Oryzias latipes: one gene and its partners. The protein of the gene in region 1 interacts with the protein of each later gene in a pairwise test. Links are inferred from orthologs where the notes say so. Each region holds a gene or a part of one and is shown in the gene's direction. Other genes may lie near its edges. The genes, in order: histone-lysine N-methyltransferase SMYD1, zbtb44 and fam204a.

Region 1 (4,423 bases):
ACGCACATGGAGAATCTCTGCTAAACCAAATGTGGAAATTTATTGACTTTGGCCACCCCTGAGTGGATGTGTCAAAAGCTGAACTATAAGATGTTAACTCTAGCAATTTTTTAAATTCCAGGTATTTAGTCATTTAAATATTCTTTTCAGGTTTAAAAATGTGGTTAAAACAACTTAAAAAACAAACAAAAAAACAACAACCTTGAAACATACTTGAACTGACCTGAACAATAAATAACCACACGTCAGTTATTGTTCAGGTTGTAATCAAACCTGTTACAGAGTTATAGACCTCAAAAAGCTTGACTATGTTGGGATGATTCAACAATTTCATGATTCTCACCTCCCGAAAGAGCTTTTGCAAATTTACCACACAAAACTAAAGAACAGTTGCAGCTTTAATAGGGACGGTCAAAATTCTGATATAAAATATGGCTTAGAATTTATTAGGTCTTGATACAAAGAGCAACTCAGCACAAGCACCTCGCACTAGATGTGAAATACATTGGAGTATCCTTGAGTTAACTATATAACTTATTATGTATTTCAAAAATAGTTGGAAATACCACAACGGAACGGTAAAAAAAAGAAAAAACCTGAACCCAAGCTGAGATTCTGTAGGAAGACAGAAGTATGAACCAGAAAGATTTTAATAGAGGGGGGCAAAAATTGCATACAGTACCTACTGGATAAATATATTAAATATTTTTGCAACCAGGTTAAAAAAAAGAGGAATTCTGCTGTGATCACCAGAGAAAAAAAACTTAGATTTTTTTTCTGTCATTAAAAACAGCTCATATGTTTCTTTACACTAAAGAGTTGCATGGAACATAGCTGACTTTCATTCAGGGTTGAATGGATTGAAGACTGTGTCTGTGACATTTTTTTGCTCCTAAAACACTTTTGAGTAAAAAAATGTCACCTTTAACACAGAGCATCCCTAAAAATGTTTGTGATACACACATTTAAAAACTAAACTTGTTTCTGTTATTGTCGTATGTTTCTATCTCAAAGTAATGTAAAAGAAAATTCAATCAATAGTTTGAAAAACTGCCAAAAATGAAGGATTGAATCTGTCAGGGCTGGAAATGAACCTGTGCTTCGTGTCACTCAGTCATTTCATGACTCATTTTACAGGTAGACATGTTGGAGAAAGCACCAGAACAGAGTAGAGGCAGTGAGACAGAGAAGGACTGCAGAACTTTTTTCAGCTGCTCAGCGTCACCACAGAACCCTGATGGACAGACACAACTGAGGGACAAAAATAACCTTCAGAGGGCAACTACCACCTAAATACAGGGGGGGAGGCATAGAAATGCCATAAATGTAAAAGTCTGAACACATTTGAAAGACTCTTGGTGAGTGAACATCAGCAAGTCTTTTTTTTGGGTGATGTTTCAACCAATTTTTTATATTTCTTAATTTTCCATGGAAGACTTCTTTTTTCTTTGTGAACTTAAGACGCACACCTATTTGCTGTGGTTCGTGGTACAGTTCAAGAGGTGTGTGGCTATTTCAGTGCAACAAGCCATGAATGTGCAGTTGTCCCAGAAAATATAGAAAAGTTAGACTTTTGCTCCACAGGTCTGTCTGATAAGCTCACAGGTTATCCAATTTCAGGAGGAAAAGCACTGATCATGGAAAACGTGGTGATTTTTGACTCACCTGGGAAAGGGAGGGGTTTAAAGGCCGCCAAGGAGTTTTGGGCTGGAGACGTCATATTCTCTGAGGCCAGTCTTGCAGCTGTTGTATTTGACAGGTATGATGATAGTGCTAGATTTATTGGCTCTGTGCTGGAGATTTATTTAAATTGTATGGTATTTCTAATTATTTTTTTGAATAAATGTAGTGACTTTTAAACTTTTATACATGAAAAGAATTGCTTGACGACTGTATTTTTGATTTTAATTAATAATACAATCTTTTCTTTATGTGCAGTCTAGCGGAACGCGTATGCCACAGCTGTTTCCGCAGGCAAGAGAAGCTCCAGAGGTGCGGTCAGTGTAAATTTGCTCATTACTGTGATCGAACCTGCCAGCGTGCTGGCTGGGCTGAACACAAGCAAGAATGCAGCGCCATCAAAGCTTATGGAAAAGTACCAAATGAGAACATTCGGTAAGTGAGAAGGAAAAAAAAACACTGGATTATGAGAGTTTTTACGCTTTTATAGCATATGGTAAGGCTCTCATACAGATTTTTCTTTTAGAATACTTTATTCTGAATTTTTGTGTGTAATGTAAATTATGAAAAAGCAACTTTTTTTTAACTATAAGTCTGCGTAAGTGTCTACTATTATTTGTAAAGAACCATACATCTAAGCAGTTCATTAAGGTGTTTGTCCATAGAGGGCCATGTGTGCATTTCCTTGTTTTCTCTTGTGTGGTCAGGCTGGTGGCCCGGATTCTGTGGCGTCTCGACAAAGATGGGAGCACGGTGTCTGACATGCAGCTGACCACACTGGACGAGCTGGAGGACCACATCACGGACATGCAAGAAGACGAGCTGAAGGAACTCAAAGTGGACATCCACAATTTCCTGGACTTCTGGCCACGGACCAGCAAGCAGCACACAGTCGATGACATCTCACACATATTTGGAGTGGTACGTCAAAAAAACGCACAGTAGCATCCCAGTTCTGTTCTGTTATTCGTTTTGTTCGGAAGTGGAAGCAGCCTTCCTGTACAATCAAAAAGATGGCAAAGTGCCTGTTCTCACCAAACACAACTAAATCCAGGAGAAGAACAAGTACTGCAGTGCTGTAGAGCAATTTTCGTGTTTTTCAATTAAAAATCCAGGCATCTTATTAAAGTCAGAGGATCAATGACATATTTTTGTTACCACATTTTATTCGTTTTTATTGTAAAGCCTAGAAAAAGTCAGAAAAACAGCAATTCACGTACAAGAATTTTATTTGCGACATGAACTGGCTTTGAATGGATAATACAGTACTTACTGATAGTGGTCTCGGTCCAGCACATAAATTAATTGTTAACTAATTCTCTCATTTTGGTATTCTGTGCATTTGGTCTTTTACTGTAAACAGTAAAACTCTCAGCATATGAGTATACAAGAAAAAAGGGAAGACATATTTTAGGAAAACTCCTTAAAAATGTTCAATTTTTTCCTCCAGATCAACTGTAATGGTTTCTCTGTGAGTGACCAGAGGGGCCTGCAGGCAGTAGGAGTGGGTCTTTTTCCAAATTTGTGCCTGGTGAATCATGACTGCTGGCCTAACTGCACCGTAATCCTTAATCATGGCAAGTAAGTGCTGAAACAACAGACAAATGCGATTTTTCATCTCAGTTCTTTAATACGAAAAGTTCTGTGTGGTCTCAAGTGAAAAAAAAGTAATATTTACCAAATTTCAGAGGATTCGGGTGTGTTTGAGTGTACGTCCATTCAAAAAAATAAATTCTGGAACAAGTACATTTGAACAGTTTTAGGTCTGCAATAAACTGTATTTGTTTAGTACTGAGCCCCCCTGGTGCCAGTCGTTAAAAAAAAAGAAAATCAGATAAACCGTGCGCACGGATTAATCGATTGTGCTCGTACTGTTGCGCAATCGTGCGCATGCACACATTGCACATGCTTTGGGTTTGCAGGCAGGGGAAGGTGCTTTGTGACGGTGTGCGCAACGGAGGAGGCTTCTGACCGCAGTCCGTCCGGCTGTTCTGCGTGAGCGAGCTGCCAGACGCAGGAGAACCGTGTCTCCTGGCAGATTCGTATCTCCAAGCAGAGATATGAATAGTACAAATGTTGGAGCATTTGAGAACCCGTGAAAACAATCATGAGAATTTGTGTTACAGTCGGGTCCAGACATAATAAAAGGCTGATGTTATTCCAGCTTAAGTTCATCCACGGCTAAATGTTGTTAGCACGTTTTAACCTAATCCTAACCCTTCTGGGTCAGCTTGGTCAAGTAAAAAACACTGGCCGCACAGATTTACAAAATGAATTCATTCCCATTCATTCAAATGAATGGGAAGGTGTGTCCAAACTTTTGGTCTGTACTGTATATGCAAACATGCACTTTATAATAATCATAAGAATAATAAAAGCCCGTGCAAAAGATCATCTCGCTCTAAGTCGGAGCTTTTTTTACAACGGAACTCCCAATTTCTTCTTGTACGGTCGTACCCTACTTTATCCAGACCGATCACTATCTCACATGTCATTGGACCAACGTACAGCCAATCGAATAGTGTGACGTCATCATTAGTTGCAGGCCGTGTTCAGGGGCCTGAGTAATAAAACTGCATAAAGATGAAGCATCTCTTCAACTCTCAGGGTTTTAGAGGACTACTCAGAGATGAGTAAATGAATCAAAATACCACTTTGGGGCTGTTTTTGTTAGGAATTAACATTGAAATACACTTAAAACCTCAAAAAGGTGATGATATGGGCCCTTCAAAAACACAATTAG
Region 2 (3,648 bases), on another chromosome or scaffold:
ACCGGCCTTTTCAGTGCCCAACCTGCGGGGTCCGATTCACACGCATTCAGAACCTAAAGCAGCACATGCTCATACACTCGGGTAGGTGAGACGTCCACGCGGTCTGTGCTTACTGCAGGACCTGGAAGAATCATTTAGAGGGTGTGTGAAAAGGATCCGGATTGGCTCTGGTGTTTAAGGAGGTCGGTGCAGGGGTCAATGTGCCGAACAATGTTTAGCACACTTTCCAATGACTTTAGGGAACTTCGGAACAGAACTTCTGCTTGCATACATGCACACTTACATACACACACTGTCACACTGTTGTCCTTGCAACAAGTACAGAACACCTTAAATGTTGTTTTACTGGTACTTGCAGCGACGATAAAACACTTCAATGAGGTCAAATCAGGATCAGCTTAAGGTGAACGAAAAGACAGATTATAAATGGAAGAAAAAGTGAACATTTGAAAACTGTTAAATGCTCAAAAGTACCAGAACAATTATTCAGACAACCATAAAGAACATGTTAACACGTCGACTAAACATTAGATTCAATTAACTAAATCAGTTTCTTCTTATGTGTCACTACCAAACACTGAAAATCTGCTGTGTTTTTCTATCAGTCTGCATTCACCACCACATTGGAGAATCCCACTGTGGAATTTCCCTCTATTTTAATTTAGTTTCTGTCCATTACCACAGTGAATTTTAAATAAAACAACTCGGAGGCCATTGACGTGCAGACTTTCAGCTTTTATTCTATGGGTTGAACAAAAAGATAGCATAAAAATGTGAAAAACTAAAGCATTTTTTAAACACAATCCCTTCATTTCATGGGCTCATAGGTAATTGGACAAATGAAATAACTGAAAACAAAATGGTCATTCCTAATATTTGGTTAAAAGCCTTTGTTGGCAATGACAGCCTGAAGTCTTGAACTCATGGACATCACCAGATGCTGGTTTTCTCCTTCTGATTGCTCTGCCAGGCCTTTACTGCAGCGGCTTTCAGTTGCTGTTTGTTTGTGGACCTTTCTGTCTGAAGTTTAGTCTTCAACAAGTGAAATGCTGCTCAATTGGGTTAAGATCAGGTGACTGACTTGGCCATTCAAGAATATTCCACTTCTTTGCTTTAATAAACTCCTGAGTTGCTTTGGCTGTATGTTTTGGGTCGTTGTCCATCTGGATTATGAAACGCCGTCCAATCAGTTTGGCTGCATTCACCTGGATCTGTGCAGACAGTTTGTCTCTGAACACCTCAGAATTCATTGGGCTGCTTCTGTCCTGTGTCACGTCATCAATAAACACTAGTGTCCCAGTGCCACTAGCAGCCATGCAGGCCCAGACCATCACACTGCCTCCACCGTGTTTTACTGATGATGTAGTGTGCTTTGGATCATGAGCTTCTCCACGCCTTCTCCATACTTTTCTTTTCCCATCATTCTGGTAGAGGATGATTTTGGTTTCATCTGTCCAAAGAATGTTTTTCCAGAACTGTGCTGCCTTTTTTAGATGCTTTTTAGCAAAGTCCAATCTAGCCTTCCTATATTTGAGGTTTATGAGTGGCTTGCATCTTGCAGTGAACCCTCTGTATCTACTTTCATGCATTCTTCTTTTTATGGTAGACTTGGATATTGATACGCCTACCTCCTGGAGAGTGTTGTTCACTTGGTTGGCTGTTGTGAACGGGTTCCTCTTCATGGAAATGATTCTGCCATCATCCACCACTGTTGTCTTCCGTGGACGTCCAGGTCTTTTTGCGTTTCTGAGTTCATCAGTGCTTTCTTTCTTTCTCCGGATGGACCACACTGTTGATGTTGCCACTCCTAATACTGTAGCGATTTCTGGCATGTTTTTTTCTGTTTTCTCAGCTTAATGATGGCTCCTTTCACCTGCATGGAGAGCTCCTTTGACCGCATGTTGTCTGTTCACAGCAACATCTTCAAAATGCAAGCACGAGTCCTCTAATCAACTCCAGGCCTTTTATTTGCTTCACTCATAATGACATAACAAGGGAATCGCCCACACCTGCCCATGCAATAGCATGGAAGTCATTTGTCCAATGACTTAGGAGCCCACGAAATGAAGGGATTGTGTTTAAAAAATGCTTTAGTTTTCACATTTTTATACAATCTTTTTGTTCAACCCATGGAATAAAAGCTGAAATTCTGCACTTCAATGGCATCTGAGTTGTTTTATTTAAAATTCACTGTGGTAATGTACAGAAACAAAATGAGAAAGAATGTGTCTCTGTCCAAATATTTATGGTCCTGTATGTATAATGGCTGTTTTGTCTAGTCTAGTCTTCAGTGCCCTCTAGAGGTTGTTGCTATTTATCCTTAAAGTCACACATACGTCACCCCCCCCCCCCCCCAACTATGCAAAAAAATGCGACATATGCTCTGAAAAATATGGTGCACGTTGTAAATTTAAGAGAAAACAAAAAAGTACATATACAGATCTTTAAATTTGAAGAAAACTTGAATAAAGAAAAGATATAAACCTAGAACTGTTACCAAATGAAAAAAAAGCTTTGTTTGAATAGCTCACAAGTACAAAAATGAAGAATACTTTCAATTTCAGTGTACTTGTCCTTGTTGCATAAAAAATAAATAATAATTCATTGATTGATAGTTATAGTAATCAGAACACTTAAATGGTAAACTGCGTGTTCTTGTGTAGCTCTTTACCACCCTCTCTAAGTGCTGTACAGTCACAGTCCCATTCACACACCGATGGCGGCTGCGCTGCCAAACACCCACCAGGAGCAATGTGGGTTCAGTGTCTTGCTCAAGGACACTTCGGTACATGGAAATGCAGACAGGGATTCAAACCTTGCAAAACATTTCAATGACAAGTTGACCGCTCTGCCTCTGCACCACAGCACCACCATTTTAATATATTTATTTACAAAAATAAAAAGTATCAAACATAAAACTATTTTAAAAATCCAAAAGAAAATGATTTTAATATTATCAGTGGTTCCAAACATTTTTTGAATTTGCTGCAAGATTGAGTCACGAGATGACAATAAATGTGCCAAAAATGAGCAGAAATGGTCCGTTGTTTTTGTGTTTGTGTGTGTGTGTGTTATCCAAATGAGACAGTGTTAGTGATGAAGGCCATAGTAAAAATGTGGAGGATGACATTTTGTCCCTGTGTGCCGTTGTGTTCTTGTCCCTCCCCCCTGCAGGCATTAAGCCCTTCCAATGCGACCGCTGTGGGAAAAAGTTCACTCGGGCCTACTCCCTAAAGATGCATCGGCTGAAGCACGAAGGTAAACGCTGTTTCCGGTGCCAGATTTGTAGCGCCACATTCACGTCCTTCGGTGAATATAAGCACCACATGAGGGTCTCCCGACACATAATCCGCAAGCCGCGGATTTATGAGTGCAAAACATGCGGCGCCATGTTCACCAACTCTGGCAATTTAATTGTACACCTGAGGAGTCTGAACCATGAGGCATCCGAGCTAGCAAACTACTTCCAGAGCAGGTGAGGAGTCTGGGGGCGCTGAGCCCATTATTTCCTTAGATCTCACCTGCATCCGAACCGTTAGTGCAGATTCTTCTGCCAATACTTGACTGCGTCCTGACTTTGTGTTGTTGTATTGATGACTATTGTTTTCACTGCTCAGTTGTGGTGTTCATGAACTCTGTTGAATGTAT
Region 3 (4,316 bases), on another chromosome or scaffold:
TATTAGATATCTCATTTACTTTGTACACACAGTGCTAATCTCTGCTAATGAATTCTGCCACACCAGCCAGATCCAGATGACTTTAAATTATTACCACTCACACAGATACGCCTTTCCTCATTTGAGGCTCAATCTGGCTGGCTGGCAAAAACAGTCTGTCACAGTAAGATACTAATAATTAGGGTTTTAAGATGATTAGTTTATCTCTCTGCTCTTACAGTCCTGCCTCTTTCCCAGCACGGCCAAAACTTAATACGAGGCTCTAAGTTTTAAAAAGCCAACTCCAAATTACCAAGAAATGACAGAAATAATGAACTGGAGGACGTGCCAGGAGCAGGGAGGAGGGAAAGCGGGGCAGGAAGACGCTGGGCAACAAAGCTGGGGCATCAATTCATGTGTGAAATAGAACACAAAGGCTGCTAATCAATAAAAACAAGAGTAGAACCAAAACAGCGTTAACCAGGCTTTGTGACTCTCATTTACATCCAATCTCTGATGTGCTCATGAACTTGTCACGCGCTGTAATTAAAGTCCCAGTGAAGCTGCGGCCTGTCAACCACTGCAGGAGATACCGTGGTCACATGACTGGCGTGGCGTTCACAGAGCATTATCACACAACTTTCAAAACAAAGACAGCAACTTTTCACACACAGAAACCAAAATCTGCAGCTTTTTGTCTGAAATGTAAGAACTAATTAGAGAGAAAAAAACACAAATTATAATGATCTCTTTACGGTTTCTCTATGCTAAAGATTTCTTAAATTATATTTTAGTCAAGAGAAATGTACTTATTGAAATCATAATGTCATCATTACCAATAGCAGAGACACGCCCACCTGAGCATTAAATGAACCTTCTGCTTCATTCTTTTGTTTAAAGCTGCGTTCACAAAAATGATGTTATAACCTCAAAATGATTTAAAAACCAAAAGGAAATAAATCCCTATGTGACAGATTATTAGATATTTAGTGAGCTTCAACACTCTGCAGCTGCTCATCTGTCTTTCGCTCCGACATGGAAACAAACTGCAGAAAGTGGAAGCGGACGCAGTCAAAGAGCAATTTGTGCGGAGCGGCGCGCGCCAGGTCCGCGGGCGGCGCCGCATTTGCATGCTAATCATTCTAATAGGAATGTCAGCCCGCAGCGCTTCCCGCAGACGGAGAGCTGCTGGTCACAGAGGGAGGCTTATCGCAGCCGGAACATGACACAAACCAGCCTCACATCTGAGGAGTCCTGCTAAAGCTGGACCTGCAGTGTGTCTGCGCGCCTCCATCTCACAGGCAGCAGCAGAGCAGAGGCTGCTGGGAAGGAAGCCGCTTCCTTCCCAGCAGCCTCTGCTCTGAAAACGGAGGCCGCCAAAAGGCTCCGAAACTCCACTAAAGTCGCTTTTTACGCCAAATTTCAAGTCCAAACTCAAGTTTCTCTCTTTTCGTTTGACTTCAACCCGATAATCGATGGTTTTGTTTGATCAACAGCTGGTTGGACAATATTCTCCATCCCGCCCCGCCCCCTCGAGCTGTTAGCCAATGACCACCTCCACAGAGCCTACGTCACGTTGTTTACCCGGAAGTACATGCACGCAGTCACCGCAGCGTTTAGTGGATGAATTTCTGTCCATTTTTGCTCTAAAGTGAGCTCATTAAAATGTACAGCGGACTCCTGCCTAAAGGCTTGACCGAGGAAGACCTGAGTCCAGATGAGGAAGACGGTGGTGAATGTTCGGTTAAACCCCCTGGATGTCCCGCAGGACCGTCCACGGCGGAGACTGCGTCCGCCCACGGCGGCAGCAACCCACAAACAGGCGACATGCCGGGGGTCCCCCAGGAAATGTGGCGAGTGAGTCCTCTGTCTTCTCCACGATCTAACAGCGCTGCCTGTGCTGTCCTTAGCTGTAAAATACTGAAGATGTTTCCTCCTTTAGAAGTTCCAGGACCTGCGAAAGAGGAAAAATGAAACGAAAACGATAAAGATTCGCGAAAAACGAAGAAAAAGACGCAGAAAAGGTTTATTTATGATAAACGAGGAGCTTCAGCTGAAGGTTCTGTTACTGGTTTCCACCTAATGAGGAGTCTGTTTTCATTTACAGGAGCAGAAAGACGGGAACCTGCAGGAACCAGGTACAGGAACCCTTCACAAAACGCAGGACTACACTTATTTGAAGTATACTTGAGTATTAGTACAGTATAGCCCATGTACTTGTAGTGTAGGAAGTGTAACTCTACAGATGAAGGGGTAACGGTCCCAGGATCTCACTCCAACATTTGATGAAGCTTGTGTTTTTACATCAAACACGCAGATGTTTCCCGTTGACCCTAAATCCTTCAGAAAAACATGTTTTTGGACAAACAGCTGATTTTCTTTAGGACACACTTGACATCCTTCAGATGAGGTTCATCGGGGTGTTTGCTGGCGATGGAAAAGCCTCTGGGATCAGTCCTCAGGATCTGGTCTGACAGCGATGACCAACTCTCTGATGTGTTGTTTAGTATTGGATCTGTCTGACTCTAAGATGGATTTATTTCTGGTTAATGTTACAAATGGCCGTAGTTCTGCTCCTGACTCCTTCAGGTCAGCCGGGTTCCAATGCAGGTTTGAGGCAGTTCATTTCAGCAGAGCAGCTTCAGCCATGATGATGGCCTCCATTTTTGTTGTCAGGGAGCAGGAAGAGGAGCAGCAGAAACACTGGAATGACTTACAGCAGTATTTCGGCGTAAATGATCGATTTCAGCCTCCTCCTTGTTCCAAACCGCCTCCAAAGGTAACAGACTCTCCTCCAGCGGATCTTCTTCACTTTCATTCTGCTTCTGTCATAGTTGTTAGCGACACCTTGTCATCCTTTGTGTGCCGGTGCTGCCGTGTGTTTGATGTGACGCGGGGATTACAAAGGAACCTTCCTTAAAAGTCACGCGTTCTGTCGTGTTTCCCGATGAGATTAGCTTGAATCTCTGACGGCTTCAGATGAACGCGTGGCGTTTCGCCGACATTAAACATTCGTTCAACAGAAGGAGACAAAGTTCCTTCAAAAGCATCTGAGAGAAACATTTCCTTAACAAGCAGATAGCAACATTTAACTACTTTTATAATTGAAAAATGAAAACTTTCTGTCAATGAGAGCGTTTTCATCGATGTGAGTCATTGTAGGCAAACTGCCAATGAAGCAAAACATTCAACTGAGCGGGTCAATAGGAACTGCTCTGAAATTCCTTTAATGATTATTTTGGAGTATTTTGTGCTTAATTAATCTCACAGCAGCAGAAAATTGGGTTTTTGCTGATTTCGGCCTCATTTGGAAGTGAAGGGATGAAACAAGAGGAAGCAGCTGAATAAAACAGAGTCGTCTCATCAGCGTAATGACGGCTCCCTTCATTAAAGGCCGGCCGCCATCCTTAATATCTTCTTTGAAACACGGAAACACTCTGTTGTTCCACTAAGACACACCAGATGTCCTGTTTTATCCAGTGGCATACGTTCATTTAAAATGATGTCATTATTTTTGAGCGCATGTGTAGAAAAAAGTGAAAGAGTAAATGAATAATTAGAGGCCTTTTCGTTCCATAAGAATGTTTTTGGAGCTGAGGAAATGCGGCGCTCTGCTCATCACGGCAGAACCAGCTTCCCTGCCATAACTGGGGGCTTCTCTGCAACCCCCTTCGCCCAGGCCTGTAATGGAAATGTGTAATTAAAGAAGCACATTTATGTTTGGTAATCTCCTGTAGCATTTCTAAGATTTTCCCACTAATATCCAATCAAAAAGGTTTTCATTTGTGAAGCGAAATCTACATATTTGTGGTAATGGCATTGGTATTAAAAATAAGGCCCCGGGGACTTTTGAAGTTCCTCTTTGATTTTTTTTTTCTTCCTCTCCCCTTATTTGAAAATTCTTTCCCCCTCTGCTGCAGTCCGGCCTAGAAAAGAACATTGAGAGGGCCATCGCTGAAGGGGACTTTGCAAAGGCGGAGGAGATGAGCGACAGACTCGCCACTCGAGAGGTACGTGGACTCGATAAGAGATCTTTGGGGTGCTCCTGCTGTGACAAATCAGGCTAATGGATCCGTGGCCATTTCTGCCGCAAAGACATAGAGGAACAAAAACACACGCAGACATCCTCCATTCAGTCCTGCAGCCCTTTTCCATTCACTTAATGGAAAGCCCTCCCCTTAGTTTTGAAGTGCTGCTCTGTCTAAAGGACTTTTGGCTCTGCTTTTTAATGAAGGCTACATTGCTTTCAAGCCCGACTGTTAAATCATACTCCAGGTAGGAGTTTCAAACCTTTGAAGTGTGCTCGTCCCTGAATGCACTGCCTGAAGTTTTGGAAC

What was found.
Region 2: the proteins of histone-lysine N-methyltransferase SMYD1 (region 1) and zbtb44 interact in binary tests that used the Homo sapiens proteins (3 or more experiments, as listed by UniProt). The link is inferred for Oryzias latipes from reciprocal best matches to the Homo sapiens genes SMYD1 and ZBTB44.
Region 3: the proteins of histone-lysine N-methyltransferase SMYD1 (region 1) and fam204a interact in binary tests that used the Homo sapiens proteins (3 or more experiments, as listed by UniProt). The link is inferred for Oryzias latipes from reciprocal best matches to the Homo sapiens genes SMYD1 and FAM204A.

The regions. Positions count from the first base shown.
Region 1 is NC_019867.2:7,701,961-7,706,383, reverse strand, and holds the start of histone-lysine N-methyltransferase SMYD1, read left to right. Parts: upstream 1-1,513; 5' UTR 1,514-1,637; coding exon 1,638-1,759; intron 1,760-1,938; coding exon 1,939-2,115; intron 2,116-2,387; coding exon 2,388-2,601; intron 2,602-3,130; coding exon 3,131-3,261; intron 3,262-4,423. UniProt on the Homo sapiens protein: Methylates histone H3 at 'Lys-4' (H3K4me), seems able to perform both mono-, di-, and trimethylation. Acts as a transcriptional repressor. Essential for cardiomyocyte differentiation and cardiac morphogenesis.
Region 2 is NC_019871.2:31,051,333-31,054,980, forward strand, and holds part of zbtb44 (zinc finger and BTB domain-containing protein 44), read left to right. Parts: coding exon 1-81; intron 82-3,174; coding exon 3,175-3,475; intron 3,476-3,648. UniProt on the Homo sapiens protein: May be involved in transcriptional regulation.
Region 3 is NC_019873.2:30,054,754-30,059,069, forward strand, and holds the start of fam204a (protein FAM204A), read left to right. Parts: upstream 1-1,402; 5' UTR 1,403-1,644; coding exon 1,645-1,836; intron 1,837-1,921; coding exon 1,922-2,003; intron 2,004-2,086; coding exon 2,087-2,117; intron 2,118-2,655; coding exon 2,656-2,758; intron 2,759-3,899; coding exon 3,900-3,989; intron 3,990-4,316.